Linked DNA regions of Caenorhabditis elegans. The protein of the gene in region 1 purifies or fractionates together with the protein of each later gene. This does not show direct contact. Each region holds a gene or a part of one and is shown on either strand. Other genes may lie near its edges. The genes, in order: npa-1, tth-1, F22E12.1 and T21H3.1.

Region 1 (10,009 bases):
CAAACATACCTAATGCCTGCCTGCCTAAATGCCTGCCTAATGATTCAGAAGCTTTTAACTAAAATCTTTATTTTTGGACAGTTTCTAAATTTGATTAAACTCCTTGAAAAGAATGTTTCTGTTTTTCTCACAAAACCAATTTAAGGGGCTTTAAATTTCCATAATCCCAAGCATGACACTATGTTGAATAGTATTTTAATTTTGACGAAAATCAAAGGAATCATCCAGGGAATCCAATTGACTCCTTTGTGACGATTTGAGGAAACGGATTTCATCAGTCGATTTATCATTTTTTGAGTAATTGTCTGAAAATATATTTTGACAATTTCATGCTTTGGAATTATCTAGCACCTTTTAAAAAAAAACAATTTTAAAGTAGTATTGCTACCAAGAACTCCCGTTTAAAAGAATTAGTTTAAAACTTTTCAGAAATCTGCTCATTTAACCAGAAACGCGATACTCTCAAAAGTCCCACTTACTGAGTGTCTGACATCTCGTCATGGTCTATTTTAATCCAAAAAAAAACAAAATAACGTAACCAGAAACCACTACAGAAATTCCTAGCTATACAACTGCTTAAAAAATGAATCCGTACTTAAATTTTCTAAACGCTAGATTATAAAATTAATTCCTAAAATAATGTTCATAGTAAAACTTTCCAAAGAATTTTTTGAACACTTTTTATTTTGTTTCAAAATGTGGTAATTTCTCAGTTTTGCAACTTTTATGGAAGTCGTCGATCAAAAAAAAATTACCTCCAAATGTTATGTTTCAAATGATGAATATTCAAATATTGTAAGGAATCAAATATGCGACCGTGTTTTAGATTTCTCACTTTACTATGATATTTGGCCAATTTGGCACCACGGGCGGTGCTCCACTTTTCCTTTCCAAAGTTCTCCCGAAATGTTCAAGAATTCCCAAGGAACTATTAACAATCGTCACCTCAGCCAAAAAGTGTCTAATTGTTGTCTAGCGACCTTCTGGGAGTATAGAAAAACTAAAAACAAACGAAGGTAATCACAGTCGTCATACTCATCATTATGAGTATTGTGTGGCTCTTACCCTTTTTCTTCGCATTAAATTTAACGACATTGTCAACGTTTTCAAGAAAACGAAAAACGTTTTTTTTTCAACATAAGCCGCATTGTTTCTCTTTCTGTTTCTTTACTGCCCATTACCGAGCAGAAAAAGCATTCACATGTTTAATTCGCTTTCTGGTTCCGCTCTTCAAAGTGTCGGATTTCGAGCCGCTGTCACAATTTTCTCAAAAAATACTCGTCGAGAAATATGTGTGTTTTTCTGCTTTTCGACGGCGATGTACTTTGATGATGATGACTTTTGTCGACAGAATACCAATTCAAGCATTTCTTTTTGTTTTTTGTATAGCCTAAAAACTGAACCGTTGACGCTTCTCTCTTTGCGTCAGCACGTCTGAAAGTGAAAAACACTTCATAATGAGCAACGTCTTCAAAATGTCCTTTTCATTTCTTACACTTTAAAATTTCTGAAGATAACCATGAAGCATTTGGGCAATATTATCATATTTTCTATGAATAAAATTGCATAATCAAACTGTTTTTCAGGTACCTCCTCCTTCATTCTTTCTATTTCAAAATGGTCCGCTCGATCGTGCTGTTGCTCCTTTTGGTAGCTCTTGTTTCTGCTACATATTCCCGTTTTGGAAGCAACAAGGCTAACAAGTAAGTGGGCAAGAAGTTTCAGAAAAAGCTGAAATATTTAAGTAGTTAACTGTCAGTAGAAGAAAAATTACAATTTTTGCAATTGCTGAGATTGGCAAACATTTCCAAATACACTCCTGTTTACAGTCAAAGATTCGGTAAATTGCCACATTTTTGAAAAAAAAACTTGAACTTTTTGGGTAATTTTTGAGCAGATGTGTAAATTTGGATTTTTAACAACAACACAAGGATTAGAACACAAGGATTTTTGGTAAATTTTAAAAATAATGATTGGTGTAGCCAATAACCTATTGCAAATAAGTCAATAACCTATTGTTTTATTGGTCATTTTAGCAACATAAAAGTGACTAAACATGTTCCTCACATGTGATATATCAAAAATACACTATAAATCCAATGATCTTTCAATGTAGTTTTTCCCACTTCCTCATTTTCATTTCCAATTTCCTAAATAATTATTATTCCAGACCAGAAGAGGCGCATCCAAGTATCAATGACCAAATAATGCAGGGCTCGCACATTCGATATTATGGCCGATTCAGGTTTGAGAGTTATCATTCACATCATTCTGATAAGAATCTTTTACAGAGATGGCTCGGATGATGTGCTGAATCGCTATTTCAATCGTTTGTAGTGTGTGCATCTCTCACAAGAGAATCTCATCATCAACAGCAAAATCATGAAAAAGAAAACAAATCATTTGTATCTGACGACTCAAGGCTGAAGCTATTTCGCTGAAAAATAATTAATTTTCCTTTGCTTTTCTTTCCTCACTCGTTGTATCTCTGTCCATTTCCTCCACCGCTCGATAAACTCTGTTTAACACAAACCATGTTTGTTGAATCTACCGAAAACAGTCCGAAATTATAGTGTGACTGATAAGCGAGCACGACAGTGATAAGCTTTTGAAACGGCGCTGCTCGCCATTGGTCTTCTATTTCACACTGAAGGATGGCCGTCACTAGGTCACTTCTATTTTTATTTTTAATTGCGTCGGTAAGTTACACAATTGTTTTCCTGGTGGTAGAAATTTTTCCATACTTTTCGTTAAAAATTATTGAGAAAGCTTTGCATGTGCAAGCAATTTCACGCTAAAATTTTTCAGTAGCTTGCATGTTAGCTAATCCAAATGTAAGTTAGAACGTGACGTCTAAAAACTAGAAATTAACTTTTCGACTCTCTTCACTTTACGTTGCTGAACTCTTGAGCTCACAAACTTCAACTTTTAAACTTTGTGCATCTAGTTTGTAGTCTATAAAAAACACGATTTTATCAGTGATAATCACACATTTATTTAGCGATTTCCACGCAACACACTAACCACAGTATGTACTATTTCAGGTCGCATTGGCCGGCAATCACAACCGTCATCACAGGTAATGCCGTTTTTTGTTTACGATATGGGCACAGCTCTGTTTTAAGATAACAGAGAGAAGCATCTGGAAACATAGAACACAACAGGGTCAAAGTATAGAAAAGTTTCAGAAACCGACGGGATAATGATCTCCACGATTGGCTAACAGCTGAACAAAAAGAATCTTTAAAGGATATTGCACAAGGAACTGAAGAGTTCAAGAAGAAGGTTGCAGTTTTCTACAACGAGCTGCCAGCTGAAAAGAGAGCAGAGTGGGACAAATTCTATAAGACTCACTGCTTCGAGTGGACTGCCAAAGCTCAAGGAGCTGACGAAGAAACTGAGTTCCAAAAGAATCTTGCTGATAATGATGTGGAAAAAGTCAGACAAAGAATCGGAGAGCTGAAAAAGGATTTGGATGAGAAGGCAAGAAAGAACGTTGAGATGTGGGAGGACGATTGCTACAAACTTGTGAAGCCAATGAGAAAGAGAAGAGAAATTGAAGCTGAGTTCCAAGATTTCGTTAAGTGGATGACCCCAGAACAACTTGGCGATATTAACGCTTTGAAGACTGCCGGAAAAGACAGTGAGATTCAAGATAAAGTTAAAGAGTACTTTGCAAAGCTCCCAGCTGATCAACAGAAAACTCTTACTGAAGAATTCAAAGGAAAGTGCAAGGTTTACTTCACCCCGCTCATGACCTCTGATGAACTTGAAAAGATCAAGACATTGAAGGGAGACAAGGAAGCTGCTGGAGCACTTGTGAAAGGAGTAGTTGACAGACAAGATGGCGAAGTCAAAGTGATTGCCGAGAAGATGCTCTCTGTATGTACCTTTAATAAATTTACGGTAAAATTGTATCTTTCAGGTTTGTGGAGAAGTCTACAAGGAGTCTACCCGGAAGCGCAGAGAAATTGAAGCTGCATTCCAAGACTTTGTTAAATGGATGACCCCAGAACAACTCGGGGATATCACTGCTTTGAAGGCAGCTGGAAAGGACAGTGAAGTTCAAGCTAAAGTAAAGGAATTCTTCGGACAGCTCCCAGCTGATCAACAGAAAACACTGACCGAAGAATTCAAGGGAAAATGCAAAGTTTACTTCACTCCACTTATGACTTCTGAGGAGCTTGAGAAGATCAAGACATTGAAAGGAGACAAGGAAGCTGCTGGAGCTCTTGTAAAAGGAGTTGTTGATAGACAGGAAGGTGAAGTTAAGGCTGTTGCTGAAAAAATGCTCACTGTAAGTTTCATCTAGTGACATCATTGTCTTACGAACAATTTCTAATTTTCAATAGGTATGCGGAGAAGTTTACAAGGATTCTAGCCGTAGACGTAGAGAGATCGAGGCAGAGTTCCAAGATTTTGTCAAGTGGATGACCCCAGAACAGCTCGGTGATATCAACGCTTTGAAGACCGCCGGGAAAGATAGTGAGATTCAGGATAAGGTTAAGGAATACTTCGCACTTCTGCCATCTGACCAGCAAAAAACTCTGACAGAGGAGTTCAAAGGAAAGTGTAAGGTTTACTTCACTCCACTCATGACTTCTGAAGAACTCGATAAGATCAAGACAATGAAGGATGATAAGGTGGCTGCTGGAGCACTTGTTAAAGGAGTCGTTGACAGACAAGAAGGAGAAGTTAAAGCTATTGCTGAAAAGATGCTCTCTGTAAGGGAAAGTATAGTTAGTGAATCTTATCAAACTAGTTTTCAGGTTTGCGGAGAAGTTTACAAAGATTCTAAACGCAAGCGAAGAGAGATCGAAGCTGCATTTAAAGATTTTGTTCACTGGATGACACCAGAACAACTTGGAGATATTACTGCATTGAAAGCTGCTGGAAAAGACAGTGAAGTTCAAGCTAAGGTTAAGGAATTTTTCGGACAGTTGCCGGCTGATCAACAGAAAACTCTTACCGAAGAATTCAAAGGAAAGTGCAAGGTTTACTTCACACCATTGATGACTTCCGATGAGCTTGCAAAGATCGAAACTTTGAAGGGGGATAAGGAAGCTGCTGGAGCACTTGTCAAGGGAGTAGTTGACAGACAGGAAGGAGACGTCAAGGCTATTGCTGAAAAGATGTTGACTGTAAGGAAAAAGTAATAGTTATAAAAATACTGAATTATTCAGGTATGCGGCGAGGTGTACAAGGATTCTAGCCGTAGAAGACGAGAGATCGAACCAGCATTCCAAGACTTTGTCAAGTGGATGACCCCAGAGCAGCTCGGACACATCACAGCACTCAAAACCGCTGGAAAAGAAAGTGAAGTTCAAGATAAGGTTAAAGAGTATTTTGGACAATTGCCAGCTGACCAACAAGCTACATTGAAAGAAGAGTTCAAGGGAAAGTGCAGAGTGTTCTTCACTCCATTGATGACCTCTGAGGAACTTGACAAGGTGAAGACATTGAAGGCTAATAAAGAAGCTGCTGGAGCACTTATGAAGACTGTGGTAGATAGACAGTCAGGAGAAGTAAAGGCTACCGCTGAGAAAATGCTTGGAGTTAGTTTTACATGTTTTTTTGCTAGCTCAATCATTTATTTTCAGGTTTGTGGAGAAGTGTACAAAGAGTCGAGTCGTAAACGCAGAGAGATCGAGGCCGCATTCAAAGACTTTGTTCAATGGATGACCCCTGAACAACTGGGAGAGATCACATCAATGAAGGCCGCAGGAAAGGAAGGACCAGAACTTCAGGCCAAAACCAAAGAGTTCTTCGAGCAACTTCCAGCTGATCAGCAAAAAACCTTGAAGGAAGAGTTCAAAGGAAAGTGCAAAGTTTACTTCACTCCATTGATGACTTCTGAAGAGCTCGAGAAGATCAAGACATTGAAGGGAGATAAGGAAGCTGCTGGAGCACTTGTGAAGGGAGTAGTTGACAGACAAATGGGAGACGTGAAATCTATTTCAGAGAAGATGCTTGCTGTAAGATAGACATAGTTTTTAATCATATCTGATAGCTTGTTTTCAGCTGTGTGGAGAAGTCTATAAAGACTCTAGCCGCAGACGTCGAGAAATCGAAGCTGTGTTCCAGGACTTCGTTAAGTGGATGACTCCAGAACAACTAGGAGATATCACTGCTTTGAAGGCAGCTGGAAAAGACACTGAGGTGCAAGAGAAGGTGAAGGAATACTTTGGAAAACTCCCAGCTGATCAACAGAAAACACTTACTGAAGAATTCAAGGGAACTTGTAAGACTTACTTCTCCCCTCTGCTCACTTCTGAAGAGTCTGAAAAGATCAAGGAACATGTTGCATCCGGAGACAAGGAGGCCTCCAAAGCACTTGTCAAGGGAGCTGTGGATAGACAAGAAGGAGAAATCAAGACAATTGCCGAGAAGATGTTTGGAGTAAGCATTAAATTTAAAACTGAATGAAAACCAAACTATCTTTCAGATTTGTGGAGAAGTCTACAAGGAGAGCAAGTCTAGACGTGACGTGGCTGCTAAAATCGAGAAGCATTTAAGTTGGCTTCAAGCCGAGGAGAAGGAAGAGATTCTGAAAATGAGCAAAGAAGGAAAGAGCAAGGATGACATCAAGAAACGTCTGTTCGAGATGGTTGAAGCCAAGGAGAAGGATGCAGGAGAGAAGGAGAAAACCGTAAAACTGTGCTACGCTTGGATGGATGATGTAGCTACAAAGGAAGAAATCGAGGGGCTTCACAAGTTGCACCATGTTGATCATGGAGCATGCAAGAAGAAGGTTCGCGAGTTCATCGGAAGACTTCCAGAGGAGAAACAGAAAGCTGTTGAAGCTTCCCTTCCATTCTGTGAAAAGCTCTGGTATGGAGATCATGCATCTCATGAGGGACACGAAGGACATGGAGATCACTCTGGACACAATCATCATCACATAAAGAGACGTCATTTGGCTGTAATTGAAAAGTACATTGAGTGGCTTGATGAGATTCAAAAGGGAGCGATTAGGGAGTTGGAAGCATCTGGAGCAGATTTCAATGTGATCGCTGATAAAATCAAGGAATTCTTCCATCTTCTTCCAGAACAGAAACAAACTGATGTTAAGGAGAAGTTCCAGAATCAATGCATGACTTGGGCGAAAGAAGTTTCAAAGCCAACCGAATGGGAAGAAATCAAGAAATTGCACGCTGCCGAAGACTTCAACACATTGAAGCTGAAGCTTGTAGAACTGGAAGAGCGCCTTACAGAGAATCAGAAGCATACAATTGAGCACGTGAGAGGAGTCTGCTATAGACTTTGGGGAATCAAGAATCTTGCCAGAAGACGTCGTGTTCCAAACTCAGAAGCTTCATTCCAAGAGAAAGCGGCCAAGTATTTGGATTGGATGAACGAAGAACAATTGAACGAATTGAAGAGATTGAAAAGTGAGGGAAAGAAGTCCGAGGTGATGAAGGCCATTCTAAAGTTCTACGATGAAACAACCGGAGATGCCAAGGAGAAGGCCGAGGGCAAGTTGAAAGAAGCTTGTAAGGAGTATTCGGTTAAGGCTTTCGGAGAGGAGAAGGTGGCTCAATTCAAGGCTCAATACAAAAAATTGAAGGATGAAAATGCGGAACAGTCCGAGATTGAGAAGTTGTCCAATCAATACATTGACGAGATTGAGGATGAACAGAAGAAGGACTTTGCAAAGGCTGTAAGTTATTAATTATGGGGCCGCAGCAAGCGCGCTTCAATGCCAAAGGAAAACGCTCCGCCTCCTAACGTTAGGTCTCGGTAGGAGGCGGCGAGACTGTAAATTCAAACTTTTTCACTATTTTTTCGATTGTTTTTTGTTGTTTTACATATTTTTTATGTCGAAATGATGTTTAAAATACTTGTCGTTTCGAAATTATAATATAGTCAGAAATAACCGAAAAAATAACAAATTCCTAACGGGACCCAACGTTTAGGGGCGGAGCACTTTTCGTTTTACATTGGAGCGCGCTTTCGCTTAGATTTCAAAAAACTCTATAATATACAATTTTGGATTTTTTTATTCAGATTGTTAAAAATTCGAGTCCTGAAATTAATTTTTTGAATATCTTTCAGGTTGTCACTGGCTGCAAGCATGTCTACGCCTCAACTCGTTCCCGCCGTGATCTGATCGCTCAGGCGGTTGCCGAATATCTTCAGAACGCTTAATGATTAGAAAACTTCACTTTTGCAGTTATAAACTTACTTGTCTATATGATGAATTTTAATTATTTGAACTGCAACAAGAAGATTATGAAATTCAAGAATAATTTCATTAAAAAAATAAGTGACTAATAAGTCAAATTATTACACAGAACAAATGAAATGAAATGAGGCGTACGCTCTCTGAGCGGTGTGGGAATGATAAAGGGATAGCGTAAGCTTTTCGGTGTGTAGATGCGAGATAAAACGGAGTGTTATATTTTAATGTACAGGTTGAGATCGTCGTGGCGAGAACACATGTCGTTGTTGCTAGAACATGATCTGCGCCTGAAAAAAAAGTTCATAAAATAATTTAAAGATATATTCCCGGAGACTTTTTGCTTTTGTGCCGGTTTTTCGATTTTTGGATATTTCGAAAAAAATTGCGAGAGTTCAAAAATTATTTAAAATCTGCCACTATTCTTTTTTTTAGAAGAATAGTATGTTTTGTGAAAATATTTCTATTTTTTTTCGATTAAAAAATCGAAAAAGACAATTTTTTAGTTTTTCGGAAAATCGAAAAACCGACATCCTTGTTACTGTTTAAATACCTTATTAAAACTAAAATAATTAAAATAAATTTTTCTTTTAAAACTTAAAAACATTGATTTCTATTTTTTTTTCTCATCAACATATACAAAATTTGATTTAAAAAAACGGTTTTTTAAAAATAAATTTCTGAAAAGTTTTTTTTTTAATTTTTCAGTTTTCCGGACGTTCCAGATTTTTCAAAATTACAATTTGGTTAAAATTAGGTTTATTTTTTTTCGTTTTTTCGAAAAAAAATTCGCAAAAACTGAAAGATTTGAGTTATAAATTTTTGATAAATTTAGTAAAAAGAAAAATGATTTTATTAGAAAATTTCAATTTTTTGACACTGTAAACCAGTATTTCCATTTTTTTCCTTAGTATTTAGTATTTCCAGTGTTTAGGTGTTTTTTTTTGAAAAAGAGCAAAAAACTGGAAAAAAATTGTAGGGTCAAATTTGCTCAAAAAAGTGCAATTTCTGTTGTTTGTATGAAATAGGGCGTAAACCGTTTTTTTTTAAATTTTTTTTTTGGTTCTGCCAAAAACGAAATTGTTTTTTTTTGGTTTTTTGAAAAAAAAATGTTATCACGAATTTAATTTAATTTTAATTTTCAGTTTTTAGCCGTAAACACGAATTTTTGATTGAAAAAAACTCACTCTTTTCTTTCCGTACTCTTTGGGTCGCCATTGCAGAGCTGCTGGATTAATTCGTGTCTTCTTTTTCGCAGCCTCAATCCGTTTCTCATAAACTTGACGCTTTTCATCACTAATCACAATTATGTATGATCCCTTATAGTATTTGTATAGATCAAGTTGCTGTAACGTTGACACAACATCTTCTCGTTTAATCGATGTACTTTGTGAAATGTCCTGAACTGTGATATCTTCGCCTGGATGTCGTCTTTTGAATGCGAAAAGCTCTTTCATGATGGCCATTGACCAGTACGATCGATATGAGAGAAGTCCCAAATCTGATAGTGGTTTTTCGGGTGATCCTGTCTTCTGTTCAATTTTCGAGAGTTCATAGCTGAATTCGATGAGCAAACTTCCGTATCCTTTCTTTTGAAATGGAGGTAACACAAGAATACACGCAACATTATATTCTTCAGCTGATTCTTTTTCTTTTGAAAAGTATCCAACTATATGATGACCCTTCTCGTCTTCTTCGGTTAGCACATAGAACAAAAATGGATCCGTGTCATAGTAAAGAGTCTTGTGATCCAGAAAAAGTTTGGCAAGCAGGCATAGATTCTGAGCATAGCTTTTGTTTTTGCGGCCGTCGATTTCAAAAAATGAAAGT
Region 2 (5,402 bases), on another chromosome or scaffold:
TCCAGTCCCGTCATCAGTAAGTAGACTGACCTGGGGACTGTGGGAAGAGTGGTTCTAACCTTGAGTCGTTTCGGTGGCCCTTCTTTCTCATCCTCTGTCATTTCCCTCTCTCACTCTCAATATCTTTCTCTCATTCTCTCTACACATACCATATAATATAACCGCCATTGTTGTCTTCCTCCTAGCCGCATCCAATCGTTCGCGTACCCTCAATTTCTCATTGTTATGGACCAGAATTGTCTTTCTCTTTTCCGCTTTCTCGCTCTAATAATGAACACAATCGCTCTTCTACAATGTCCATAGTTTTGTATTACTGTAAACTTTTCACTCGGTTGAGTTATGTATAAAGGAAGCGAATTCGTCATGCGTGTTGGTTTCTTGCTATTATGAGAGTGTTTTCCCGCCAAAAATGTTACCACTATGATTCTCCATTTCTCATTTGAAAATCTGACTTCTTGGAATAATCTACCGCCGTTCCAGAATGTATTCAGCTTTTAATTTCACAGAAGAAAAGGCATAAAAATTAGAATGATGAAAGACTGAAAAAATCGTCAGTCGTAGAGTTCTGATATCACTTTAAGAAAATTACCCAACATTATAGTTTCTTCGAAATAAAACTAAAAGCTAATACGTGAAAATTTGATTCCAGAAACGTATACTTCCTCAATTCCATAATATTTTTGGACTAATTGTTTTGATCAAATTTAGATGCTAATTGAAAAAATGTTAAATTTACAAACTTCTTGATTGGGATTTATGAATTTTAAAATTTCTTAATAATATGCTGCGAATATCATGTATATTTAACTTTAGTTTTTGAGCGCTTAGAATTGTAAAAAATGAATAAAAATGCCTTTAAATTAAAGCGTTTTCATATGAGCTATCATACACTATCTGATAAAGTCACAGTAAATTTTTAAAAATAATTTGCCTGAAAACCCAAATTTTCGATGATTCCAGAAATTTGACCCATTAGAATGGCCCATGATTATTTCTTAACTATGTCTTTGTCGACAATAATCCACATGGAGAATTGCAACTCTTAACACCAAAACTATCTCAAATTTATGCAAAAGAATTTGTTTAGGACTTCTCCGCAACCAAAAAAAAAACAGCGCCATGCCTGTATACTAGTATATAAGCATTTTTATGAATACACGGCTACCGAATATTGAAATAGTAATGTAAAACTAAAAGTCACACAATTTTTTTAAATGCGCATTGAAGAAAATTGTTAATATCTGGTATAAGTCCCTTTTTTACTGGAATTTTGAAATTTTTCCAAGCCCCATTATTGTTTTTTCACCTTAAACTCATTTTCCTGTGAGTTGTTTTTTTCCTCACAGAAATCAATTTCGCAATACCACCATATCTCTCCGTTGACCACTTATCGGTGACTAACAGCTGACCGGATGATCAGCTGAAGTATTTTTTGCGCCTTGTTCATATATTCCTGAAAGAGAAGGCCATGTGCAAATATTTTGTCTTTTTATGCGCACAACTGTACGAAAAAGGCGTTGAAGCGCAAGTGGCTTTTGTTTTTCCATTTCCCGAGTTTTTCCACTCTTCAACCTTGCATCTTCATTCTACTTCTAACTGCACTTGAAAACATCATACCCTTGTTTTGTTTTCAATAATATATTTCAATATTCTAAGAGCAGCCCCACACCTGTTCTTGTCAAATAGCGTATATAAGTCGAGCTTCTGACCCAAGCTGCCCTAACCAATTAGATGCTTCACGCGGTAGGTGCGCGTATTCTATTCTATATGTGAACCCTGTTTGGGAAACACAATTGTAAACATAATTTATAATGACGAAAACTGCGGGCTACCTGTCTACAAGTATACTCAAATTTAGTGTACTCAAATTTAGTATAGAATTTGTATTTTCGAACTTCTTGCAATAGTTTTTCTCCTAAACACCCGCCAAGCACATAATTGCCATGCCAAGTCTGTGCCGAGTTTTCCCATCTAAATTTTTTTCTTTCAAATGTCTGTGTACGCACGCGTTCCACCTTTCCTCACACTACAAAAACTGTGAATCAAATTGAAGTAGGTCATTTGGAAGAGCGAGAGAAGAAGGGTGAAAGAAAATATGAATACACTTGGAAACGTACAATTCTTTTTCCTCTCAATCGTTTCACTTTCCTTTCATTTTTACAGTTTCACTTCTTCATTCTCAAAATTCTCGAACAAAAAGTTCTCATGGAATCGATGGGAAGAAGTGTAGAATGAATGTTTGTTGACATTAAATGCCCTTTTCAATTTTCCGTATTGATTCAATTCAGTAGTCACTCTTCGATTTCAAAGCCATGACGATATTTTATTTCACCATCACAAATAGGAAAAAAAAACAACAAATAAATCACGTGTTGAATAAAAATTTATCGCTGTTCCCCCATCTACCCTTTTCCAACATGACAATATCGAAACGTGCACATACCAATACCCTTATACATATACAATCGTTTCAAATTGTTTATGATAGACTCTTTCTTTCTTTCTTTAGTCAAATAAACAAAATCCCCTCTTCACATCTTATTCTTCATGTCATTTTGTCCTCAAAATCCTGTCCATTGCCCAATTTTTTCCCGTCCGTTTGAAAATAAAAGCAGCAGCAGCAGACCCAGTGATGAGTCAGTCAGTGCGACAAGAAAAAAAGTATTAGTCACAGGAAACACTATTATTGTGCCGACAACCCTCCTCTCTCATATATAGGCAAACGCAAGCATTTTCAATCGTAACCCACAGATAATTCTTTTGATTCTTCATTGACTACCGTCATTTCTTTTTTTTGCCATTCCCACTTTGCCTCTTAAAATGTTTTAGACAATAATTGCTCTACTATATCTTGCAGACACTTTCCTCCAAAACTCGCAATGGCTGCCGTCACCGAACTTCCAAAGATGAACCAAGAGCTCGCTGGAGCTGTCCGAGAGGGATTGGAGCTCAAAAAAGTTGAAACCACCGAGAAGAATGTTTTGCCGACCAAGGAAGGTTAGTTGTGTTTGTATGATTTTTTGGTATTGAATAGGAAATTAATATGGAATTCATAGAGTATCGATAGAGTTTTCAATTCCAATACAGTTTCAATCATTAGTTCATCAACTTTACATATCAAAACTGACGAGAAAAAATCATGTGTTTTCGATGTTCGGAGTCATTATCACTTTCAAATGAAATGATCAGTTGTTCAAACAATAACTGATAACTATTTCAAAATATAAAAATTACATGAGTTCACAAACAGGAAATGTTATGATTTTGATCAGTTCAAACTTTTGTTATTCAAAAGTTTTAACATTTCAGATGTCGCCGAGGAGAAGCAACATGTCGAGCGCATTCACGAGATTGAACATTTCGACTCTACCAAGCTCCACTCTACCCCAGTGAAGGAGAAGATTGTGCTTCCATCGGCTGACGATATCAAGCAGGAGAAGCAACACTTGGAGCTCACCGACAAGATCAACAACTTTCCATCTGAGAACTTGAAAAAAACAGAGACCATTGAGAAGGTAGCTCACAATTTTCACAAGTTTTCATTTAAAACAAAACATTATAGAAACAAAGCAATTTGTGTTTGTATTTCAGAACGTCCTTCCTTCTCCAACCGATGTTGCTCGCGAGAAGACTCTTCAAATGGCTGCTTCTTTTGACAAGAGTGCTCTTCACCACGTCGAAACCATTGTCTCCACCGATGTCCGCGTCACTGAAGCTCAATAATTTATGAAAAAGGTTTTTTTTTCTATTTAATATCAAACTTCCAATGTTTCTATATATCTAAAAATTCAATCTGAATTACTAGGTCATGATGTGGAATTCGCAAATTGAAACGACGGAGATGTTAATCTATATTCTTATTTTCCAGAGTCCCTCCTTCTTCAACCTCAATTCGGTACGCCTTCATATTATCGTTAGTGAAAAATCCGGACTCTCACATTTAAATGCGTTTTCTTTGTTTTCTGGTTCGAGTTTTATCGATTTTAACATTTTACCCTGACAAACATGTATTTTCATCAATTCTTACGTTTCATTACATAATATTTGATGTATCGATTTTTTACCATTCCATATTTATTCCCCACTTGAAAATGAACATATTTTATTACAGTTTTTTTTTGTTTTAAATGAAACAATTTCAGGAAAGTTAGTATTTTAATATTAATAGTAATTAAATTAATAACTATGAGTATACTTTTAATTGAGTGTGAAATAACGATTGTTGTTCTTAAAAATTTTACAAAATCTACATTGAAAATTGATATTAAAACACCAAAAAAAAACTATTTTCCAATAAAAATGGGTTGAAATATTAAAGGGAGGCCGTAAATCCACACTCCGTCGTCATATCGTTGCGAGACCCACCGCCGAAAGAGTGTACACACTGTAGAGACGCGAGAGAGGTCGGCTGCCTCGTCAGTTTTGCGTGGCATTTCGATTTATGCAAAGAGACCCTTATTGTCTCGTTCCATCGCGTTTTCTCTTTCATTTTGCATGTTTTTCACGGAACTTTTTGTTGATATCAATTTTCAGGTAATGCCCAAAACGACGAGGATGCTCACAAAACTACTTTTGGTTTCGTTTCTTGCCAGTGCCAGTGCTTTCTACCTTCCTGGCCTGGCACCAGTGAACTTTTGTGAAGTGGAAAAAGCGAATTGTCCAGTAAGTTTTTGTGGTGATTTAGAAAGTACTTTGAAAATTCAGTTAAAAAGTACCATGAAAAAAATTTCAGAGCAACATCTCCCTGTATGTCAATCATCTTGACAGCGATCGCTCCGTCATCCCATATGAATATCATAGGTGGGTCACAACATGATAAAATGTGATTATTGATAAAATATGACGTGATTTTCAGTTTTGACTTTTGCACGGTAAACGAGGATGAGTCACCGGTCGAAAATCTCGGACAAGTTTTGTTCGGTGAACGTATTCGTCCAAGTCCATACAAGGTAACATAGTTAAAAAATAAATGAAAAAATCCATTACTCTGTATTAGGTGGCATTCTTGCAAGAAGAAAAATGCCGTTTGGTTTGCGACACAAAGAAATACGCTCGTGGAAGCGCCGATGATTTGGCAAAGCTTCGATTGCTCCAGAGAGCCATGACACTTAACTACCAACATCATTGGATTGTTGACAACATGCCAGTGACTTTCTGTTTCAAGAATCTTCAAAATATGGATGTATGCACTACTGGATTCCCAGTTGGATGTTTTGTTGATGAGCAGGGATATCAACATGACGCTTGTGTACTCAATGTAAGTTTTAGATAATTTTTTATTGAATTCGTGAAATTTCCTTTTGTCCAATATCGAAACCTCAATTAACCATTCTTTTCCATTCCTTTTTCAAAAGGTTGTTCTTGTTCGACAAAAAACGTTATTAAATATTCATTTGTAGAAA
Region 3 (7,950 bases), 3.4 Mb from region 1:
TCGAGATAGTCGGATTTGCTTTTGGATTTTTTTTGTGATAACTATCACATTTTAAATCTTACTGTAAATATTTAAATAGTAATGTTATTTGCTAGAACAAAACAAATTTTTTTGGGGAATGGAACACATAAAAGTGTCCTATGATCATATGAACTCACATTAGCATAAAGATATGGTCCCCAGGTGTTGACATAATCCATTGCAGAAATCCATGAATCTCCGAGAGCAACAGCGCGGAAGTTGAGTTGAAGACTTCCAGCTTTGATAGACTAAACAACTACAGTTAATTAGTTTTTTTTATGGTTACCTCGAAACTTACATCAGTTATGACTTTAGCAAATTGAGCGCTCATTTTACCTCCATAACTTTCACAGAAAATGTAGAACGGACGAGTACGATACTCTGGATGAAGAGCAAGGAATTTGCGAAGCCACGCGAGCAAATCTTTTCCAATTTGAGTGATTTCAGTGGTGTAAGCAGATTTATCGTCGACATAGGAAAAACCAGCACCAACGGGGTTGTCCACGTAGACCATGTCAGCAACTTGAAGCTAAATTTTTAACTTTTCAAATTTCAATTTAGATCTTGATTTCAAAAAAAAAATACAGTGTTTAAAATAACAATCACAGAAAATATCGTACCCAAGTAGCTGGATTGTCAGATCCATTCAACGTCTTTGGTCCAGTTTCCTCAAAGTTTCCAAAACCGGAACTAGATGATCCAGGTCCTCCTTGCAACCAGAGAAAGAGTGGACGTTGAGAATTGGCAGGCTTTGCTGCATAAAGCCACCAGAAAGTATGAGCATTTGTACGAATATCAACATATCCCCAATCTTCATCATATTGAATAACACCTCCCCAAGTATTAACTGAATTGCTAGCACCCGCCGCAGCAAGGCTCACTAATGAGAGAATAAACAACAAGTTCATCTGAAAAATGAGATAAATGTAAAGAAAAAATAAAGAAGGAAGCAGAAGATTCAAGAACAAATATCCCGTGACCATCAGACTGCCGTCTTGTCAATTGGAGCCACCGCAAAGAGCCAATAAATCAAAAAGCTGTAAAGTTCTTTTTGTTGAGGGAGGGCGGTGGAGACGATGACGATAAAAGTGGTATGTGTTATCAGAAATGAAAAGAAAGAGGCGGGAACATTAAAAAAAAATATTTTTTAATAAAATCATCACAAAAATTGAATTTATTCTGGAAAAAATCAATAAAATTGGGAAAATGAATTATTAACGTGCCGCTGGCACCATGTATCTGGAACGGTCTCCTAGGATTAACTTTCTCAAAACTTGAAAAAAAATTGGAAAAAAAATCTAGGAATACTAGCGGGAAAGGATAGAGATGAAGATCCTCAAGGACAAAGTAAAGAGGTAAGATTTTTAAAATTTCAAGATTTCTTTCCCGATAACAGTTTTTTCCAAAATGTTCAATTCAGAGAATTTCAAACCTAGAAAATGTAAATATACACGTATCAAGAAGATTAGAAATTAAATTTAATAGTTTTTAGTTCTTATTTGACAAAGTCTACGTATGGATCAAAATCAACTTCTTGAGTGTACTCTTCACTTGATGGTGGTGCGAACAATTTCGATTTCTCTGGAAATATATTTGAATTTTTTAAAATGAAATTCTCACAATAATACTCACTTCCACTGCTAGGTGGTTGAACAATTGAAGGCATTCCTCCATTAATCGGAGATCTTGGTTGTGGTATTTGTGGTGGAGGAGGTGGTCGAGTATTTCGAACCGTTACTGGTGGAGGTCTTGTTGTCAATGGTGGTGCTTCCGTATCTGGGAAGTCCATTGGAACATCATATTCATCTTCATAATCTGATCTTTGATTATCCATTGCAATTATATCTTCGAGACTAAGAGACGCAGGCGTCACATTTTCGATAATTGGCCTGAAGTGTTCAACTGGTTCGGCAATTGACTTGCTTGTTGGGATTGGTTTTCTGATATGTGCATCGTATACAACTTCATTGACAGGAAGAGTTGGATATGGAACGTGAACATATTCAGTTGTGGTTTCAACTGTAGTGGTTGGAGTTGGTATCGTGGTTAATCTCATTCTTGCTTGGTACTCTTCAGCCCGTTGCTTCATTTCATTTTCATATTTCAATCTTCTATCATTTTCAGCTTTTTCTCTTTCAACCATCATTCTCTCACGTTCTCTTTGCTGTGCAGCTTTCAACTCTTGAATCTTTTTCTTATGTTCTTCTTGTTGTCTCTTTTGCTCTTCCTGCCGTTTTTCCAGATCTTCTTTGTACTTTCTTTGCATTTCTTCATGTTTTAAACGGGAAATTTCATGGGTTGGCACTGTCGTGATCAATGGAATGTATGGTTCCTCAGTTGTATAAACTGCCTGAGTGGTCAAAATGGGTTGAATCACTTGTTGCATTGGTGGAAGTGGTGGAAGTTGAGCCACGGGAGGTACTGGAACATGTTCAGGAATTCTTGCTCCTTTTGGATAAGCTGTCCACTTTATTCTTTGTCGAACAACATTGCTACCATCAGGGTTTCGAACTGTCTCAATGTGAGGTATCAAAGTTATGATATGATCTGGAAATTGTGCCTCAAGTTTTCTTCTCAATGCCTTTTCATGTTCATCTAAATGTGATTTGAATTGATTTACAAGTTCTGGATGATAGTTCTCGTTAACAGATGGACTATTTTGTTGCGGGGGTGGTGGTGGAGGAGGCATCTGAACTGGTGGCCTTTGATATCTTGCTTGCTCAAAGTAATTGCGTCGCATTGTGTCTTGGATTCTCCTCTGCGTCTCTTCGGCTTCATTTTGCAACGATTGGGATATTTGATTGTGCTGCTGAACGTGTGCATCTATAAAAGGAATTTCTGAATATGTAGAAATGATTGAATTCTTACCTTGTTCTCTAACAACTTGATATGTAACAGGTCTATTGTGTTCATTTATCTCCGAATCCAGTTGGATACGATAAGAATTTGACTGAGAAGCTGGACGCGTTCCCAAGTGAATCATTCGTGGTGGAAGCTTCTTCTTTTGCATTTTGAATCTTCTTTTCATAAAACCATTTTGTTGTGCAGAAGCTTGTTCCTGAATCTGCCAGTTTACATCTTGATCAAGTACTTGCATTGGTCTTGGTTCGGAATCATAACGATGAATAGTCAATCCATCAGCTTGAGTCTTGAACGATTGGGCAGCTCGGCTGAACATCGGAACGGTCACAGCTGGAGCTGCGTGAAAGTAGCTCTGAAAATGCTAAATAAAACAAAGAAAAACTGTGACTAATTACTGGTCCATCGTCTCTGTGACTGATATTGATTGTCATGAGTTTATTGTCCCAGTTATCTGAATTTCCATATCTTCTCGGATGGCTGTCATAATAGGAATTTTCCAATGGAACCTGCACAGGATACGGCTCTTCTGAATACTGATGGAATGATTCAGTTGGGTTATTAAAAACATGTAGAGATTCAGCTGACATTGATCGATTCTGTAAAACATAACTATTGTTTCCATTCGGAATCTTAACTCACCATCTGTCTTCCCCAGTACTTCTCATCAATTCCAGGTCCATGTTCTGCATACTCTCCACAAATGAGCATACAGTGATTATAGGAATAATAGATATTCGAGTTACCACCACAACCAGACCACCATGAGCATACACATTGCTTCTTGTTTTCGTCGAAAAACCATCGCTCAATGTCCGCATAGCAATTTCCTGGATCATGAGGTTGAAAGCATCGATCTCGGTTTGTAGGTACTTGATAGTGACACTGAGATGAACACTCTGGAAAGAATGCTATTGAGTTAAAAAAAACATTGTGAACAACATTGTAATTCAAAAACCAAGAAGTAATATTACAATTATTTTAATTAATCATATTTTTGGCAGTGGTCTCCAATTTTTCGACAACATTTGACCGTTTATATTTAATATTTGTAAACATAATCAAATCTTGGTTATACTTTTGCCGCATTTTTTTAAAACATCGGTCAGACCTTGCAGACCTTTGATCGTACTCTGATTATGCAATATGTGAGGTGACCCGGTCTCGAATAATACTAATTCCGTAACATCGGCTTTTCTTTACAAAGGTTTAACAACTGTTTGACAAACTTTCCAAAGCGCTCCAAACGCTGGCCATAAACAAAAAACTCGCCAATGGATCTTAATGGGTCGTCTAGCGCCCATAACGAAGCATATATGGTATTTAGTTACACTCAAAAAAAAACACTCAAAAAGGGACAGCTCGCCACGCCAACAGTGAGAAAAATAGTGTGGTGCGCGGACCTCGAATGATGTCGGCGGCTGATATTGCCTGGGGTACCGCTTTTTGCCTTTTCCCCGTGAGTGAACGAGAAAAAGGCGGGGCCTATTTTGGCGTACACGCAACGCAGTTTTATTATTTTAAGTGTAAGCTAAAAATATATTCAGTAGCATACCTTCCAAAGAATCGAATCGATTCTCATTTCCTTCACATCCTCCATAAAAGAAGCGACGACATCGATGATCATACCGATCATAATACCATTTTACATGAAAATCAAGTTCACATGTGCCACGATCTGGCCAGTGATTGCATTTTGGATTGGATAGCAGTTGTTGTGAGTTGACCGCAGTACAACCAAAGAGTAAAATGAGAACAGTGAGCATGATACTCTACTCTTTCAATTCTTGTCTGAAATGAAATAATTTAAAAGTGCTCCTGACACTTAGGGCGGAGCTGTGCGAAAAAGAGAAAGCGGCGGTGAGATCAAGAATAAAATTCAATGGAAATGAGAAGATTGCACAAAAAGTCATTACATGAGATACTTTTTTATTGGTCCATTGAAAATTATGAGTTTCTGATTTGAAGACGGGTGTATCCATCCCACTCATTAGTCACACAACTCTGACTCATTCGATTTTTAGGCTTCTGGCCAATACAAAAAATAAAGAAACATGTGGAAAATTTTAAAAAGGTTGAAAGAAAAAAACAATGGGATTGAGTGTCCTCTCTTCCTTGCTCCTCCCGAGTTTTCTAGGACATTGCAGGTGGGATGAAGATGAAGGAGAAACGGGGCGGGAATGTGAATAGGTTGACAGAGAAAACAGAAAAACGAGGCGTGCTCCCACTGGGGAAAAGGTATTCGAGGTGCAAGAGGGGACAAATGTCAACTGATAGAGATAAATGAGATGGCATCACAGAAGCCAGTTTCTGTTTTTGTCCTGATGTTGTTGGCTGTAGGTGAGAATATATAAGGGGATTTTCACTTCGCCATTATGTGATAATTCTTGCAGTTTACTAAACCATTTCTAATTTAGGTTTATAAATATCAATAAACATTCCTCTTGTAAATTGCTTTAAAAAATTCTTACAGCATTCTAGGTTTCGAGAAAAAACTTAGTAGTTTTAAAGGTTAGTCGTGCCTATACCAACTTATTATTAATGCTCTAGGACAGGGGTGTGGGGCGAATTTTCCGACAAAATTAGATTACCGAGTTTATCGGTAAGTGTTCGTGTAGCTTTTCTCGAAGCAATGTATCAGTATTAAAGCAAACATTTTTTTGTTACAAATTCATGTAATAACATTTTTAAAATTGCACAGATTTTCCTTATAACTTCCGCAAAGCTCAAAACTCAGTGTCCTGGTACGTTTTTTTTAAAGTAATAATCACACCTAAATTATTAGTTTTTACCAGCGGCCAGTTAAGAACTTATGATCGACAACATTTTTCAGAACAATGTAACTGGATACTTAGAGGGCCACTTTTGGTTGGAACCCATTTCATTTTTAGTTGAAAGTCAATTTTTGTGCGTTTGAATAGGGAAAGAAATTTTTTATGAAGTGTTGTCATTTTTGAACTGAACCAGATTCATTTTTTATTTCGAGCACTGTGGATTAATTTTTATAGGTAATTTAATTTTATAACTCATTAATTACAGATTTCACTGTAAATTGGATTTTTTAAAGTATTCAATTAGTCAATTGAACACCAACGGTTAAATTTAAAACAGGCTCCCTATTTGCGCTACTTTGCTTTGAAAATGTAACAAAAAACGTAATGAAGTTCTGAAAACTTCAATTTTTGTTCAACTTTGTTCAAAAATAAAAATCTCTGCCACATTGCATTCTGCAAGAATGTTTTATAACTTATCCGTCAGAAAATGTTGCAATTTTCCATGATCCGTCTTATTTCAAGAATGTGCCAATTTGTTTTTCAAAAAGTTGTTATCTCTTTCCCTGTTTCATTCAAAAACTTCTGAATCTCCTAATCACTGTGTTCTGCTGCCATCATCCATCAGTGTCGAAAGTGAAATGAGGCGACCTTACACATTCTAAATTCGAATTGAAATGTGCGAACATGTGACCGTCGCTTGTTTTTTTGTGCCAGGCTCATCCCGGCCAGCAAAATTTGCTGAAGTGATTGATGGAATTGAAGTTTGAAATCTACTCTTCATTCGAAACATTAACAGACAATTTTTATCTGTTTAGTGCAGAAAATGTTCATGGCAGATCAGAGAGTTTATATTTGCAGGGAATGAGGTAGACTTTATTCAGAAAAATTAATAGAAACAGCCAGTACAAACTAAAAAATAAAACATAGAAATCTGATTTAAAAGTTAACCCACGTGGGTGGAAAAGTACTCTTAACTAGAGAAAACAAAACATTTTAAAACAAAATAATTCAATTAATTTAATTTTTTCTTGTCCTCTCTTCCAAATGCCCAATACAGATGTGTTCCATTCACAATTGGAATCATTCGGTTTGTGTCAGAACACAGAGCAGGTGCATTTTTCATTGAGTACAACTCATCATTACAATATCCACAAGAATGACGACAAACTCGAACAGCAAATTCTGCATCAGAACAGCTGTATTTTCCCATTCCAGATGCTTTGAATCGTCTGCAGAATCCAATAGAATGTTTGTCTTTACACATTGCTGGAGCCTTCTGGAGTGAACGAGAATTCTCGGAACTGATCTTATCTGAAATATTGGGATTGGAACTATGAATATCTTGCCTTTGTAGGCTGGATTATTTCAGTGAATGATTTCAATCTCCAAGAATTGCTTGAAAAAAACTGACAAGTGATCCAAAGGTTTTAACAGAAAAAGTAAAACCTACAAAGTTAGAAAAACTATTTGGGTCCCTTTAAACTTCTTTAGCGTATTAATAAGAAGCGTATTCAGGAAAAAAACATGAGATACTCACTTCTTTCAATATATTTTCTGCATTCTCCACAGCAATCAATAGCGGCAAAATCGTGATCAGTCAAGCATCTGGAAATTAAAATTGTTTTTATTAATCTATAGTCAATATTCTTTGAACCTCTAATCGAAATAAATTTGTTCGCGCCCACAGATATAAGAAGGAAAAAGACAAATATCTGCGCACACTCTTGAGCAGATATTCAACAAAAAACGACTGGATCCATTACCTCACATTTATCGCCACTGAGACTCACTCGTTTTTATTGGTTTTTCAAGAACGCTCATTCCCAATCTCACAAAGTTTTAGAAATTTTGACAGTTTTTTGTCATTTTACCAGTTAGTTTGTGAAGTTAACTTTCTGTTATCTCACCTCTTTTCAAATAATGCTGGCTGTGATTTTCTCAATGATTGGCATGCTTGTTCTCCAAAACGATCACGACAACATGGTAATTGTGCAGTATCTGGAACTAAGAAAACTATTGATTTTAAGAGTTGTATTTTACTTTTAAAATTTTTGAAAACTTTCAGCTGAAGTTGAAATAATTTTTTGATTCAATTTCCAATTAATGTCGGAATGAAATGTACAAATTTCCAAATTAAGAATTCTTCTCAAACCTTGATTAAATTGAAAATATGTTTCTGTCAGTTGACAAAATAAATGTTCATTACTCATAACTATATTTTGTCCTTCACTATTTTTTTTATAAACATTTTTTACTACAATTTGGGTGATTCAGTCCATAATTCTGTAGTGTGAAT
Region 4 (6,392 bases), 5.9 Mb from region 1:
GAGAAGAGACGCACAGTTCTCAACTGATTTCGCATGGTTAAGAACGTAGTGACGTCACATTTTCTGTGGAAGAAATTCCCGCATTTTTAGTAGATCAAATTGTAATGGGCCTGTGTACTCATGAGATGTCAGGCTGTCCCATTTCGGCTTGATCTACGCTGATCTACAAAAATTGCGGGAATTCAGACGCAGATTTCTCAACTGAATCACATGGTTAAGAACGTGCTGACGTCACATATTTTTGGGCAAAAAATTCCCGCATTTTTGGCAGATCAAACTGTAATGGGACAGCATGTTTATTGATCTCCAAGAAATGCGGAAGTCGGAATACGAAATTCGCTTTGAGACGCTAGTAGAACTCTTGCGTGTTTATCAGGAGTGTCCGGCAAATTTGGAAAATTTGCCGCACTCCCCAGGTGTAAATTTCCCGTTATTCTCGGAAATCGAACGTGCGAGGCTAACGAACCCAAACTTGATAACTTGGGTATCTAGACATCAGACTGATGACGTCATCTTTCATTCCAGAAGTCCATATTTTGAAAAACGCATCGCTGAAGTATTCGGAGACGTGCCCACCGGAAACCCAGGATTTCTGAAAATTTGACCTAGACAGAGCTTTTGCATAAACTAACTTACATTGTTTGCAAACACAGTTTCTACGGCTTCAACGAGCAGCTGTGCGTTACGATTAGTTCCACGAAAAGCTACCAAAATCGCCTGACTTTCGTGATCGACTCCAGTAAATCCAGAACATGTATCATCAAGTGTGTCGCAAGCTACAGTAATCTGAGGTTTGACTTGAAAATTTTGAAACGCCAAGCTCATGCAACTTTGTGGAGGAGAAGCGTACGCGGAGATGGCTGCATAGATCAGTTTATTCCGAGAGAGCTGATCGGAATATGGTATTGAACTGTGGGAGAATGATTTGCAAATTAAAACGGAGAAAATAAAAAGCATTTTGAATGTCAAATACATTAAATACAATTGTAATTGAAAATTTGCAAACTTAAATAGCTCTGTGAAAAGTGAAAAAAGTTCTGGTTGCAAGTGTGACTTTGTTGTTTGATTTTGGGATTACTGTTGCTCCGAGGCAATTTGTCATTTAACTTTGCTTGGAAATATGACGAACATCACGTCATCTTCAGATTGCTGTCACATTTGTTATCAAGGGAATTACTAGCTATTTATGCTCCGACGCCTGCCTCAAACCTGTACGGAAAAGGGGTGTGCGGCAAATCTCAAAACTTGCCGTGCTCGCCAAATTTTGCAAATCTCTTCTTCCAATATTTGCCGAGCACGGCAAATTCGGCAAATTTGCCGTGCTTAATTAACTCCGAAAATTTGATATTTTTTGATGTTTTTTGGAGCACCGAAACTACTGAATTCTGAATAAAAATCTGGTGTCTGAATAACTTCCGTGTAGTGTGTCTGCTTAAGCATCAAAATAACAACTCAATTTTATGCCATTTTACTAAATTTTTGGGGACAAAATCAATAGTTTTGGCCAAAATTGTATTGTTAAAAAATTTTTGATGTGTGCGGAAAATTTCGAAATTTATCGTGCTCGGCAAATTCGGCAAATCTACTGTTTTGAAATTTGCCGAGCTCGGCGAATTCGGTAAATTCGGCAAATTTGCCGCACATTCCTGGTGCGGACCTCTGCGAACATATGGGAGGCAGGCGCGTAGGCAGGCCCACCACTTCAACTCTGAACCACTGAATCAGTTGTGAACTATTTTATTGTTTAAAACATTGAAAAGTTAGTTCTTGACATTAGCACAATTTGAGTAGCCCAAGTCGCTGACATCAACGTCGAAGTAGTGAAGATGATCCTAAAAAAATAAAAGTATTGGTGAAGTAAAGAACTTTGGACGATTTATACCTTGATAGAAGTGTCTGGAAGAACTTGTCCGTTGGAGCAGAATTCGCTCTCATCGATATCATCGCAAATGTTGTACTTCGTCATTTTCTCCTTGTAGAACACCTCGGCCTTGTGGTGGGTGAATCCTTGCATGTTCTCCTTTGGAAGATGTGGCACCGGGTCGTGGGCGTGGGTGACGCGGAACTTGTTCGTGACGTCACGATCGACGGCGGCCGCGTAGGCCTTGTCTCCGACACGTGGCTGTCCGTAGGTGACGAGTTGAAGCTTCGAGGCGTCGAAGAGCTTGTTGTAGGTGATGTAGGAGGCGGCAAGGGAGGCCATCGCTCCTCCGAGGGAGTGTCCGGTGACCTGAAGTTTTGTAAGTACACGACTTTCCCACGCGTTGTCCGGCGGGCGGTTGTCAATGGAGCGCGAAAAATTCAATGAGGAAGGCCAGAATCCCATGATTTTGAGCCTTGGGAGACGAAAATAAATTTGCAACGGACAATGTTCGAGACCGCGTTTTCTTATGTGGACCACCTTGGGTGCTACACTAAACAGTATTCCGGGAAATGATAGGACTACTTTCAAGAAACCATTGTCACCACGGGATCATCACATGGATCCACAAGGATCTTTTATCCACTGGTTGGGTCCTGCTCATGCGCCAACAAGAATGACACGTGGAGTCAGAAAGTCCCATTTTGCTTTGATCTTCAAAAAATGCGGGAGAGGAGACGCAAACATCTCATCGGATTCCGCATGTTCAAGAGCGTGCTGATGTCACAATTTTTCTGGGAAAAATTCCCGCATTTTTTGTAGATCAAAGCGCAATGAGACAGCCTGACACCACGTGGAATGGGTTTTAAGTTTCTATAACATTTTTGTGGTTCGAGGTTGACCACTGACATTCCCGCGTTTCTGATCTGGACTTCTTATTTTATTTTAAAAAAAAATTTAACGAAGCATTATTGTTACACCTATCAGGCATCAAGGCTTGCGCGACGTACTGTGTAGCTGCACTGCAGCCCACGTGGTGTCAGAGTGTCTCATATCGGCTTGTTCTACGTAGATCTACAGAAAATGCGGGAGAAGAGACGCAGAGTTCTCAACTGATTTCGAATGGTTAAGAACGTGTCGATGTCACATTTTTCTGGGCGAAAATTTCCCGCATTTTTTGTAGATCAAACCCTAATGAGACAGCCTGGGACCACGTGCAGCCGACTTCGATCGAGATCTCAACCAACCCAGCTCATGTCGTCTGCGTCTTCCTGGGGGGTATACTCACTTATATCACAAGTGTAGGAATACACTGTAGAAATGCAACAACCACTTGCTTCATGAACTCGCAAAGTATATTTTGCTAGACTACGATAGCTGTCAACAACACGGGAGCACAGTCTACTTTAACCCCATCAATAATCATTTTCTTATCAGTTTTTACGAATTCTTACCCAAACTTGGAATCCTGGGTTTTGGGCGGCAAGAGTGTTAAAATCGTCCTTGAGTCCGGCGTTCCAGATGTTCAAAAATCCGTCGTTGAAGTACTGGGAGACGACACCTCCAGCAGCCCATGGAGTCTGAAACATGCTTCATTTATTCCGGAGTACTCGAAATTTTAATCTTACGTGATACTCGAAGACAGTCTCCAATCCTTCCAAAATAAGCTGCACATTGTTGTTAGTTCCACGGAACACCACAATAATCGCCTTGTCCTGTGGACTGACGGCGGTGTATCCGACGCATTTGTCGGCTGGGTTGACGTCACAGCGAGCCGTAATGATTCTCCTGATTGAGGCACCGGTGAACGCTTTGTCGAGGCACTGTTGTGGATTCGATCCGTAGGCGGCGCCGGCTGCGAAGAGAATCTTCTTGCGAGCAGTGGCGTCGTTGTATGGGATGGTATAGACGTCGAGGTTCTCTGGATTTTTTGGGGCTTCTGGTAGCACAAAGGCCGAAGCCAGTGGCAGAAGGACTGCAGCAAGCAGTAAGGCTTGCATACTGAAAGAATAATTTAAAGTTAACAAATGAGATGGAAGTTGGAAAATCGTTTTAAAACGTGACACATCTTATTCAGAAACACGTGACGTCACCGAAGTGAAGCCTGTGTGACGTCACTTCGAAACTTAATTTGCCGCAAATTTCGAATTAACATTTAAAACATGATTACTGGGAGAAAAGGTGGGAAAATGACGATACTCTGCTATTCGATTTCTCTTTATTAACTTTCCGTTTTCTTATCACCAATTCCGTTTCAAATATCACACAACCTATAAAAAAGTCGTTGATATGAATGATACCGCTTAACTTGTGCTCTTTTATCAAATTTTCAATCGAACCGGATTACGCAAGTAGTTTAAATGGTCGTTTGATTCCTCGAACCACAAACTAACACTGTAGGAGATGAACAAAGTTCTTGATACTTGAATGTTCAGTGGTGTTAAAAAAAATTCTACACGGGGTTCTGGCCTTCCTCGTTGAATTTTTTGCGCTCCATTGACAATCGCCAACGCGTGGGAATTCCTGTACTCCACACGGACAAATGCATTTAGTTTCACAACTAAAATCGAGCCGCGACACGCAACGCGCCGTAAATCTACCCAAGATATGGCCGAGCCAAAATGGCCTAGTTCGGCAATTTCTTCCATTTCAATTTATGAGGGAAGCCGAAAATCCGTGAATTCTACCTGAAAAATCAAATAATCAAATTTCCGAATGAAATGTTTTTGAAAGGCTGATATTTGATTTGATCAGCAAACTTTAAGAAAATTAAATTTCCAAAAAATGTTGTCAAGCCAACTTTATCCCCGCTTACCTTAAAATTGGAGTTGCACAGGTGGGTTTTTTTTAAATTCTAAATGATAGAATACAGTCTCAATATAACAAATATAACTGTCAAAAAATGTATAAAAATTTTTTAAATTTTTAATGATTTTTTTAAAATTCGAACAGGAAATATAATTTTTTTTTTGAATTCCCGCGCAAGTGAATGACGTCATTTTTTGACACTTTTTGGGAATATTGACTGCTTTTTCTTTACTTTTTCTTTGTTTCATAATTTGACGCATAATTTGTCAAAATTTTCAGACATTTTTCCCAAAAAAACACGTTTTTTTAATGCTAAATTATTGATTTTAGGCCAATTTTGGAGTTTCAGCAAATTTTTTTCATTTGCTGCGCCGAAAAATGTCTGAAAAACATTGTAAAAAATATTGAAAAATTTTTGAAAAATATTGAAAAAATCAAATTTATTGCCCAAAAATGCAAAAATGCCAAAAATGACGTCATTCATTTGTGCGGGAATTCAAAAATAATTCAGCTCTTTTTTTCAAAATTTATAAAATCATGAAAAAATTAGAAATTTTTTGTAAATTTTTTTCATAGTTTTAATTGATATATTAAGACTGTTTTTCGACCATTTAGGGCAAAATTAGCGCAAACGCTACCCATGGCGTCAGGCTGTCCCATCAGGGTTTGATCTACAAAAATGCGGGATTTTTTGCCCAGGAAAATGTGACGTCAGCATACTCTCAACCATGCGAAATCAGTTGAAAAATCTCCGTCTCTTCTCCCGCATTTTTCGTAGATCAAACTAAAATGGGACACTTTGACACCACGTGACGCTAGTCAACCTTTAAAGACAAATCTTCAACAAATTTTATTTTCATCAGTAAGTCACCTGAAGATTGATTTTTTGTGAGTTTTTATTCAGAAAATTTTTAGTTTTTTCTGCAATGACAACTGATTTGCAAATTCTTTTTAACTAATTTATCACAAAAGAAAACTGGGAATGAGACAGACGTCAATGAAGTCGAGCACCCGTAGTTGAGACTTGATAGGAAAACAATGTGGAGAAAAAAAACAACACTAATAAATTACAATTTTGGATCACAATTTTTTTTGGCACATATTAACCGGATCCCCGTTCCTGTGGTAAGGTTCTCAGTTCTGTTGAGTTGCCTGTAAAAATTGTAATTTTTAAATCGAATTCATGTATTACTTTTGACTCTTACTTTTGACTAGAGCTGTCTCACTGTTTCCACTTGAAAAACTGGAAGCCTGTGAAATTTCTCCGAGTTTTTCAGGTTTTTCCGGCTGTATTGAGTCGCCACCAAATAAACGAGATAAGTCGCCAGACTGAAAAAAAAGGTTATAGTCTGACAGTTGATATCTCGATTCAAATCAGTTATTCGAGTAAATTTCAATCGAGAGTTTTTTGATAATTTCTCAAATTTTTCAAAAGATTATAGATAACTCAAAAACCAGAAATGCTATCAAAATATGTTTAACTAATTAAAAAAAATCACGACAAAAATAAAGCGCCAGGAATCTTGTGAGTCCATTCTGGACGATTGGAACTAATGGGCCAGAGGTGAGCAATCGCCTTTTTCCGGCAAGTCGGCAAGTCGGTAAGTTGCCGGAATTGAAACTTCCGGCGATTCGACAAACCGGCAAATAGGCATAGTTTCAGGTGTTGCCGTCTTATATAAATTCTCTCTAAAAACTTCCGGCAAGTTTATGTTCGGCAAAC

The links.
Region 2: the proteins of npa-1 (region 1) and tth-1 fractionate together in Caenorhabditis elegans (co-fractionation; one large-scale study listed by BioGRID). This does not show direct contact.
Region 3: the proteins of npa-1 (region 1) and F22E12.1 purify together in Caenorhabditis elegans (affinity purification with mass spectrometry, with the first as the bait; one large-scale study listed by BioGRID). This does not show direct contact.
Region 4: the proteins of npa-1 (region 1) and T21H3.1 fractionate together in Caenorhabditis elegans (co-fractionation; one large-scale study listed by BioGRID). This does not show direct contact.

What each region holds. Positions count from the first base shown.
Region 1 is NC_003283.11:7,073,307-7,083,315, forward strand, and holds npa-1 (Polyprotein allergen nematode domain-containing protein), read left to right. Parts: upstream 1-2,570; 5' UTR 2,571-2,654; coding exon 2,655-2,699; intron 2,700-3,044; coding exon 3,045-3,079; intron 3,080-3,188; coding exon 3,189-3,882; exon of another isoform or gene 3,883-3,925; coding exon 3,926-4,297; intron 4,298-4,352; coding exon 4,353-4,724; intron 4,725-4,769; coding exon 4,770-5,141; intron 5,142-5,183; coding exon 5,184-5,555; intron 5,556-5,600; coding exon 5,601-5,975; intron 5,976-6,021; coding exon 6,022-6,399; intron 6,400-6,445; coding exon 6,446-7,660; intron 7,661-8,055; coding exon 8,056-8,148; 3' UTR 8,149-8,274; downstream 8,275-10,009. Other genes in the region: nssp-53 (Neuropeptide-Like Protein), read left to right, coding at 1,587-1,703, 2,171-2,245, 2,292-2,337; mys-1 (Histone acetyltransferase Tip60 homolog), read right to left, coding at 8,452-8,469, 9,367-10,009.
Region 2 is NC_003284.9:8,421,187-8,426,588, reverse strand, and holds tth-1 (Thymosin beta), read left to right. Parts: upstream 1-2,857; 5' UTR 2,858-2,879; coding exon 2,880-2,997; intron 2,998-3,309; coding exon 3,310-3,515; intron 3,516-3,591; coding exon 3,592-3,723; 3' UTR 3,724-3,735; intron 3,736-3,868; 3' UTR 3,869-4,109; downstream 4,110-5,402. Other genes in the region: tag-123 (Transmembrane 9 superfamily member), read left to right, coding at 4,537-4,662, 4,733-4,800, 4,856-4,949, 4,997-5,257. UniProt on the Caenorhabditis elegans protein: Plays an important role in the organization of the cytoskeleton by regulating actin polymerization in two ways. Firstly, by binding to and sequestering actin monomers (G actin) inhibits actin polymerization.
Region 3 is NC_003283.11:10,452,677-10,460,626, forward strand, and holds F22E12.1 (BPTI/Kunitz inhibitor domain-containing protein), read right to left. Parts: upstream 4,672-7,950; 5' UTR 4,647-4,671; coding exon 4,436-4,646; intron 3,780-4,435; coding exon 3,523-3,779; intron 3,480-3,522; coding exon 3,279-3,479; intron 3,236-3,278; coding exon 2,890-3,235; intron 2,845-2,889; coding exon 1,654-2,844; intron 1,603-1,653; coding exon 1,517-1,602; 3' UTR 1,181-1,516; downstream 1-1,180. Other genes in the region: Y32F6A.5 (Retinoid-inducible serine carboxypeptidase), read right to left, coding at 159-269, 320-550, 642-929; F22E12.3 (ShKT domain-containing protein), read right to left, coding at 6,667-6,965, 7,192-7,259, 7,562-7,652.
Region 4 is NC_003283.11:1,174,194-1,180,585, reverse strand, and holds T21H3.1 (Fungal lipase-type domain-containing protein), read right to left. Parts: upstream 3,863-6,392; 5' UTR 3,862-3,862; coding exon 3,490-3,861; intron 3,442-3,489; coding exon 3,316-3,441; intron 2,231-3,315; coding exon 1,883-2,230; intron 1,833-1,882; coding exon 1,761-1,832; 3' UTR 1,722-1,760; downstream 1-1,721. Other genes in the region: F25A2.1 (Fungal lipase-type domain-containing protein), read right to left, coding at 467-592, 637-957; ptr-16 (SSD domain-containing protein), read right to left, coding at 5,772-5,821, 5,875-5,998.